Linked DNA regions of Daphnia pulex. The protein of the gene in region 1 purifies or fractionates together with the protein of each later gene. This does not show direct contact. Links are inferred from orthologs where the notes say so. Each region holds a gene or a part of one and is shown on either strand. Other genes may lie near its edges.

Evidence for each region. The genes of interacting proteins can lie anywhere in the genome.
Region 2: the proteins of bone morphogenetic protein receptor type-1B-like (region 1) and protein mothers against dpp-like purify together in Drosophila melanogaster (affinity purification with western blotting; 3 studies listed by BioGRID). This does not show direct contact. The link is inferred for Daphnia pulex from reciprocal best matches to the Drosophila melanogaster genes tkv and Mad.

What each region holds. Positions count from the first base shown.
Region 1 is NC_060020.1:1,950,213-1,954,437, reverse strand, and holds bone morphogenetic protein receptor type-1B-like, read right to left. Parts: upstream 2,801-4,225; 5' UTR 2,782-2,800; coding exon 2,622-2,781; intron 2,524-2,621; coding exon 2,339-2,523; intron 2,273-2,338; coding exon 2,046-2,272; intron 1,981-2,045; coding exon 1,842-1,980; intron 1,770-1,841; coding exon 1,577-1,769; intron 1,507-1,576; coding exon 1,209-1,506; intron 1,139-1,208; coding exon 778-1,138; intron 710-777; coding exon 542-709; 3' UTR 187-541; downstream 1-186.
Region 2 is NC_060025.1:5,191,140-5,195,171, forward strand, and holds protein mothers against dpp-like, read left to right. Parts: upstream 1-1,232; 5' UTR 1,233-1,584; exon of another isoform or gene 1,585-1,615; intron 1,616-1,669; 5' UTR 1,670-1,677; coding exon 1,678-1,908; intron 1,909-2,025; coding exon 2,026-2,488; intron 2,489-2,577; coding exon 2,578-2,886; intron 2,887-2,954; coding exon 2,955-3,195; intron 3,196-3,264; coding exon 3,265-3,424; 3' UTR 3,425-3,972; downstream 3,973-4,032.

The DNA.
Region 1 (4,225 bases):
GATTCAACTCATTCAAGGTTTCATTGATTCATTCTTAATGTATACTGGCAAGGTATGTATAGATCATTTGGTTTCACTCCTCAGCAACGACAATAATATTTGCAAGAGAAAAATTACATTGAATCGACAAGTTTGTGAAAATTTGAATTAAACGGTCATGAAAAAAAAAAATCATTATTAAAAACCGCTGATTCAATTCATTGTATTTACACGTTAAAAGAGAATAAAACGATTCCTGGAAGCAATGGAAGAGTAATAACATGAGCAAAGGGAGACGATTGTTTTAGTTAATTAAGACACCCAACAGTTTTGTTTGAATCCGTTTTAAGGCTTGAGGCAACAATTATTAATGGCACGGCAGTTGCAGTGGAGCAATATCAAAACGAAACGACAAACGATTCACATTCAGAAAACCCTTTCACGCGCAAATTATTTACAAACAAACACTTGTCAAAAGAACGCACTAAGAAAAATTTCAGTAATTTTAAGAACACCTTGGTCAAACTTCAGATTCAAAGACTTGCAATGTTACAACAGTGAATTAAACGGATGGTAGCATTTCTTTGTCGTTATACTTTTCGATGTACATGTACATGTCAGATTCGTCGTTGATGCGAGTAAGAGATTTTTTAACGCGTAAAGCCGTCAATCGGGCGGCCGGATTTTGATGCCAACACTCTTGCATCACTTGAGCTAAAGTTTTCAGGGGCTTAAGGGCACAAATAAAAAATATAATTAGGAATATAAAAGTATAGTAGATTATGATTTTAGGCTTACCTCCTCGGTGAGCCAGTGCGGTTGGATATCCGGTCGCACTTTCTTGACACACACCACGTTGTACATGTCATCGAAAGATGGATCAGAAGGAACGCAATCATAGTACGGTTGTTGGTAGTCATCGGGGCCATAGGTGACCAATTTCTCTTGGCTCTCGTCTGTTATGATTTCGCTAACTGTGCTTGAGGCCGTGTTACATCGACGAGCAATCTCCCACAAAACAAGACCGAACGAATAAATATCAGCTGTCTTAAAGGCCTCGAAAGAAAATTTGTTTAAGCTTTCGTCTAACACTTCAGGAGCCATGTAGCGACGAGTTCCGACACGGGTATTTGGTGCAATATCGATCTCTTGGGATTCGCTAAATAATAATAAAAGAAAAAGCATGAGGATTACTCGGTTGTTCGCTTATTTGGCTGTTGAATTCGTACCTTATATATCTGACAGCCAAACCAAAATCAGCAATGGCACATGTCCAATCTCTTTTCACCAAGATATTCTTACTCTTAATATCTCTGTGAGCAATGGCCGGTTTTCCTCTGGTACCAAAGATTTCCGTGTGCAAATGAGCCAATCCGCTAGCGGCAGTAAATGCTAACCTTCCAGCTGCTACTCCGTCAGGAGAATATTGTTGAAGAAAATCGTGTAAAGATCCAAGTTCATGATAGTCGGTAATGAGTAGCATCTGTGTCCAGGAGCCTGTTCCTTTGATATCAGCAGCAATGAAACCTAAAGTTTTTGTTTTAAATTCATAATTAATTTAAAGGGTACCAAATAAAAATATATTTAAAAACTGTACCAAGAATGTGTGAATGTCTCATGAGTACAGTCTGATAAATGTCTGTTTCTCTAAACCAAGAAGCTTCTTCAGTTGTGAAAAACACCTTGACAGCAACCTTTTCTTCCCTCCATTTGGCCATCCAAACTTCACCATATCGGCCTTTACCTATGGAATGGCCCATAACTAACTGCTTGGCTATTGTTCTTTGAACCTAATTAAAAAAACAAAAACAACATGGTTTTAGCTTATTATTAAATTGATAAATTAGATCACAATTTCTTACAAGTAAAGGTAAACCAGAACCAGAACCAGAACTCTGGCTATGGTCCACCATGTCCTTGATTGTTGAATTTCCTCCAAGGTATGGTACACAAGGAGCTTTGATAATGGAAACTTGTCTTTTATCCTCTTTCTTTTTGTAACTGTAAAGTAATAATATTTAAACTTGATAATTTTTCAGAACATTAGATTAAGCAAAACAACTTACTGCAGATAGACACAAACAACCATAACAAACAGAATGATCACACTGGCTGTGACTGAAACTAGTAAGGCCAAATAGTGAACATTTTCATCAGACCCCAACCCTGAATTGGGATCAGGTGTAGTACTGCGTATTTCATACATAGGAGATAGCAATCTGTTGCAATGGTCAGACTGGTAACAACATTGTATTGATTTGGGTACTAAATGAGGAACAAGGTGGCCTTTGCACTGTAATCAAATTCATGAGAAAACTGTAAGTGAAATTCGTTGGTCAAATAAAATGCAAGAACATACTTGCATGAGACCTTTTTCTTCTGGCGGCAAACAGCCATAAGTGTATTCAGGTTCTGGCAAACCTGTGTCAGGATTGTATACCTCTTCCACCGCAGCAAAGCACTGGCTGAAAGGTCTAGCTTCACATGTGCCATTAAAATTGTCATTAGGACAATGCCCTTGACAATAGCATGTGAGACCATATCCTGAAGAGACAAATAAAAACATTGGTAGTTCTAAATATTTCAATAGACAAAAAAAAACATTTTTCCATTCTTTTAAAAAATTTGCAAACGTGTCCTACCGCATCTGATATTTGAAGTCAACACCAGAACCCATAATAAACAACTCTGATATTTTTTGTATGTTTCTAATATGTCAGCCATTTTGCAAAACTTCTCACGGGCACCTCCAAAAAAGAAATCTACAGAACTATGGCGGGTCGGCGGCAGGGTAAGCATCATAAGAATAAGGAAAAGGATTTCTTGAAGAAAAGAAAGAAAAACTTAAGAGGATAGAGACATCTAGCGGTAAGATTAAATATTGATTTCAAAAATTGAAAACAACTGCTGAAAACATCGTTCTTGGTGACGGCATATGATTCGATCTTGGCATTTGCTTGCACTACTTATTTATTTATATACAAAGAACATATTTAGGCCTATACGTATATCTAAATGATCTAAAATATAATTTCGAGAAAACGCTTTCAAATGACCGGTACAGCTTTCTCCATTTTCTTGGGGCAATATACCGACCATCGCGTGATGTTATTATGGTTATGGGCCTATAGATGTAGTATAGCCTCATCCCGTGACGAAAGTATAGAAACCCGTTTAATCGCTAAACTGATCATTTCCTGAATGACCGTCAGCAGGAGCCACGCATCCGGCATTCCGGAACTGCTGTGAATGGCCGCTAGATCCGTACCAAAGTCCATCAGCTTCAAGCAAATTGGCAACTTCCTATAGGTTTTTTTTCACATTAGGCCTACATTTTATTGTTGTTTTTCCTAAATCGTCGTCGGGGTGGGTCGCAAGGATGTTAGGTAATACTTATGTTGTTATTATAACCGTATAAAAAGTTAGTTGCAGTTAAAGTTAAAGTGTATAACTCTTATATTCTCGTCAACATTTCTTCGATTGTTTTAAAACCATTGTGCTTCCCATTGATCGACGCGACCGCCTTAAACACAGTTAGCGGGAATTCTGTTGTGCGTCAATATGGGACGAGGACATCAGTGGCCATGCGAACGTGAATAGAATAACAAAGGGGTCTCTGCTGTGCACACAAGAAAATAAATGTATAAAAAGTCAAGTTTGTGTTGTTACTCACTTTAATGTTGCCGGCAACGGGAGGATTTACGAGCGCAGTTGTCGTTGGCAACGAAATTAGTAACAGGGAAAGCGAGAAAGAGTATTTAACAATTCTTATTTGTACGTCTGACGTCAAAACACGTTCAAGTGGCAGATACTAACGCATTTGTAGAATATATAACTTTTGAAACGGGTTTAGTCAATTTTTTTTATTTACCATTAGACTGATGACTATACAGGCCAGTTTTTCTCCGGAAAACGAAACTAAGGCTCTTTGTTTGCATCCGGTGTATATACGTAGGATATACAGGCTGTATATCCTGCTCTATAATACAGCATAGGGTCGTTCATCAGGAACATCACCCAAGCGAACACAACAACAACAACAAAATCATTTTTCTTTTCCTTTATTAATTCATCTTGCAATAAAAAAGAAAAGAAATAATCGTCTTAGGATAAAATATATTATAACCTATAAGAACCGGAAATAGTCTTATATAGGTCCTATGTATTTATACCACAGCCCATAAACTTATTTTTACACTCAAACGAATATATATACGCTATAACTAATATAGTTGGTGGTGCTTGG
Region 2 (4,032 bases), on another chromosome or scaffold:
TGTGAAATGAACCAGTTTGCAATGTTCGTTTGTCAAGCAATCCTTTATTCCTTTGATTGTTATTGCGATACACGAATTTACGACTCCACGACACTACACCTGACTACACATAAGGGGAAGTGGATAAAGTGTGGGTGCGGAATGCAGGACTGCAGGAGTACTTCATGCAGCCTGCTGCCTGCAGGGTTGCTTGTTTTTACTTTTTGTACGCATAAATAGGCCTCAAGCGAGTATGTTCAGTCAGGGTCTCAGGGAGTCAGGTTCAGGATCAGAACTAACATTTCACATTTCGATAAAAGTGATTGAGGCGGCTCGGCTGAAAAGTGAAAACGTTTATAATAATAAAGTTGGCTAAAAATGGTCGCGGGAAAAAACAACTTTTTAAAAACAAGTTCTATTTTTTGTTATACTCTTTTTTAAAAAATGTGAGCCATCTCAAGTTTAGACCATAAATCCATCAATGCTGAACGACAGGGACGATTTTAATCATTTTCCCAGTTGATTTGAACATCGTAATTTAGCGGATGTCTATATGTAGAGTAGCTTTTCTTGTGCGTTTCGCCGTTTCATACGGGAAAATATTGAATCTTCGGAATGGTTTTTACGCATCTTTGTTTGCGATTCATACGTAACGGCGCGCGGCTGATAAGGATAACGGGTTACGTTAGATTTAATAGTCACTAAAAATTGGAGCTTCGTGAATGTTCCCCATAACCTTGCTATTTTGTGAAAATAATTTGTGCTAGTGGTTACAGCACTAGACTGAATACGGTACTCTTGGGTCTGTTGTTTTTCCGCCCCTCGTTATGTCGTTACACAATTAAGCCCCATTACCTCCATTAAGATATTAAGACTGAACAGATAAATGATTTGGCTTAACTACTCAATAAATTAATTTTAATTTATTATATTTTAAATAATTTGACTTGAGAAAACATTCGATTCCCTGTGCTGCTGAATCTGAAATTCCAGAAAATACTTTGAAAATTTGTTGTAACATATTATCGCGATTAAATAATCGATTTTGGTCTTTTAACTCTCGTTATTTTATTTTATAAGATTATAAATACAGTTCATAATGCACTAAAAATTCCAAATGCTTTTGCAATTAGGTTTTTATCGAGTATAGAACAGTTGTTACTAGGCCTATATCAGCATCATTTTATCAAAGCAAAAAGCAAGAAAAAAACGTCTCTTGTTGTTAATCGATCAAAGCAAAAATCGAACGAATTTTGTGCTACGATGCCACACTTTACGTTTATGTAATTTCAGAAGTGCGTCATGCCATTCTTTATGAAAAATTTCCCAACTTTTTAATGCATCTCTTCTAGATTTGGAACAAAAATCAATTTAGTATTCGCGCAGTTACTAGTATGAATACGTTGTTGTGATTGTCATTTTAAAATTGTTGCCTTCGCTTCAGTATACTTGAGGTTGAGGCAGAGGCGCAGAGCTTGAGGTTAAAAGCGGGCAAGCGCTCAACAGATATTTGGAGAGGCGTTGACACGTTGTAAACTGTTGATTCTGGAACCACCTGCAATTAACAATTTAGCGTCAATTATACATCATTTTGGAGAGTGGCAAGTAATAACTTCGAACATCCTGATTCATTGAGGTTTAAAGAATTTAAATTTAATGTGATTGATGACTTATTTTTTTACAATTTCAGATTAGAAGATGTCTGCACTTAACAGCCTTTTCTCATTTACAAGCCCAGCAGTGAAAAAGTTGCTTGGTTGGAAACAAGGAGATGAAGAAGAAAAATGGGCTGAAAAAGCTGTTGACTCCTTGGTAAAAAAATTGAAAAAGAAGAAGGGTGCCATAGAAGAGTTGGAGAAAGCACTTAGTTGTCCTGGACAACCGAGTAAATGTGTTACTATTCCAAGAAGTTTAGATGGTAGATTACAGGTAAAGAGTACTTGATGCTATCTTAAAATTTTGCATCTACTGACTTTTTGTCATTTGTTCTTCATCCTCTAGCTATTTTAATTGTAAAAAGTTACATGTTTCTCAATTGTGTTCCAGGTTTCACACAGGAAAGGTTTGCCTCATGTGATCTACTGCCGTGTGTGGCGTTGGCCTGATTTGCAATCTCATCATGAATTAAAACCCTTAGAAATCTGTGAATATCCATTTTCCTCTAAGCAAAAGGAAGTTTGCATTAATCCTTATCATTACAAAAGAGTTGAAAGTCCAGTGCTTCCACCTGTTCTTGTGCCAAGACATTCAGAATTTGCTCCCGGACATTCACTTTTACCTTTTCAACAGCTACCTGAACCAGCAATGCCTCATAATGTCTCTTACTCAGCTCATGGTTTTGGAAACCAATCTGTTGGCTTAACTCAAGCACCTGGACCTTCAAGCACTAAAAGTATGGAGAGGCCTGTGACAAGTGCATTAAGTACCCTTTCTGTTAGTCCCAATCCTACGTCGCCCATGAGCAATGTTTCAAGTCCTGCCCCAAACAGCCCTTACAACAGTTTACCAGGTCAGAGGAAACATTCATTAAATCATTTTTGTCCAACACTAGAATCTTTTGCATGTATTAATTTGTATGTGTATTTTCATTTGATTTAGCTGAAACTCCACCACCAGCCTACAGTCCCCATGATGAAAATGCTTCATCCCAGGAACCCATGGATACAACACAGGGACCAGTGGGAGACCTTGCTCCTGTGGCTTACCAAGAACCCATATATTGGTGCAGCATTGCTTATTATGAATTGAACTCTCGAGTTGGCGAAGTATTCCACGCCCAATCTCATTCAATAATTGTTGATGGATTTACAAATCCTGATAACAAATCTGATCGTTTCTGTCTTGGTCAACTCTCGAATGTCAATCGTAACTCAACCATCGAAAATACGCGCCGTCATATTGGCAAAGGTTGTATCTAGCATCTAGCTTTATTTACCATGTTTCACTGTGATAATAATAAATTTTATTCCAATTAGGTGTTCACTTGTATTACGTTGGAGGTGAAGTTTATGCCGAATGTCTATCCGACTCTGCTATATTTGTTCAGTCACGTAATTGCAATCACCATCATGGATTTCATCCCACAACTGTATGCAAGATTCCTCCTGGATGTTCCCTTAAAATATTCAACAACCAGGAATTTGCTCAGCTTCTGTCACAATCAGTCAATCATGGTTTTGAAGCAGTCTATGAGCTCACCAAAATGTGCACAATAAGGTAGCTATTAGCACACAATCGCTAAATTGTATTTCATTCATCGACATGTTATGAATTGTCACCTTTCAGGATGTCGTTCGTCAAAGGGTGGGGTGCCGAATATCACCGTCAAGATGTTACAAGTACGCCATGCTGGATAGAAATTCATCTTCATGGACCATTGCAATGGCTGGATAAAGTTCTCACTCAAATGGGCTCACCGCACAATCCTATTTCATCTGTCTCATAAGGCTTTCAACCTGCATCGTGTTTTATCATGGGAATTATTTTGTTTATCAACGACAATCTACGGTAATAAGCAAGGCTGCGTCAGTGTGAGACGAACGTAGATATGTGGCAGCCTTGTTGCGGATATATTTCAATGCCGATAGTCTATTTTTCACTGTTGAACAATTCACACATCAATATTAAATTGTGAGTAAATTTTGCTTTCACCTCCCTTTAATGTAAACTGAAGGGATGCTGCTTTTTTATGTTAACTTCCTTTAGCGACAAGTTTTCGTGTTTTTCATCTATTCGGATAGGGACACCATTATAACATTATGTGCCATATTCTCCGAGTTTGCTCATTTGGATTTGAAGAAAATTCGAAGTGTGGGATCCAACCACTTAAAAAGGGAAACATCAATTTTAAAACAACATTCTTGCTGATTGATTTTTCATGAGGGTGAATGACAATTCTTTGATAATGGTAGAGATTCATTATGTGCTTTGACGTTCAAAATTGTTCTTTAACTATGTACTCGTACCATTTTATTAATAAATGACGAAATCTTATTAGGTTTTATGTGTTCATTTTTTTTTCCCGAATTGGAATAGTCCACCGAGAAGAGCTTT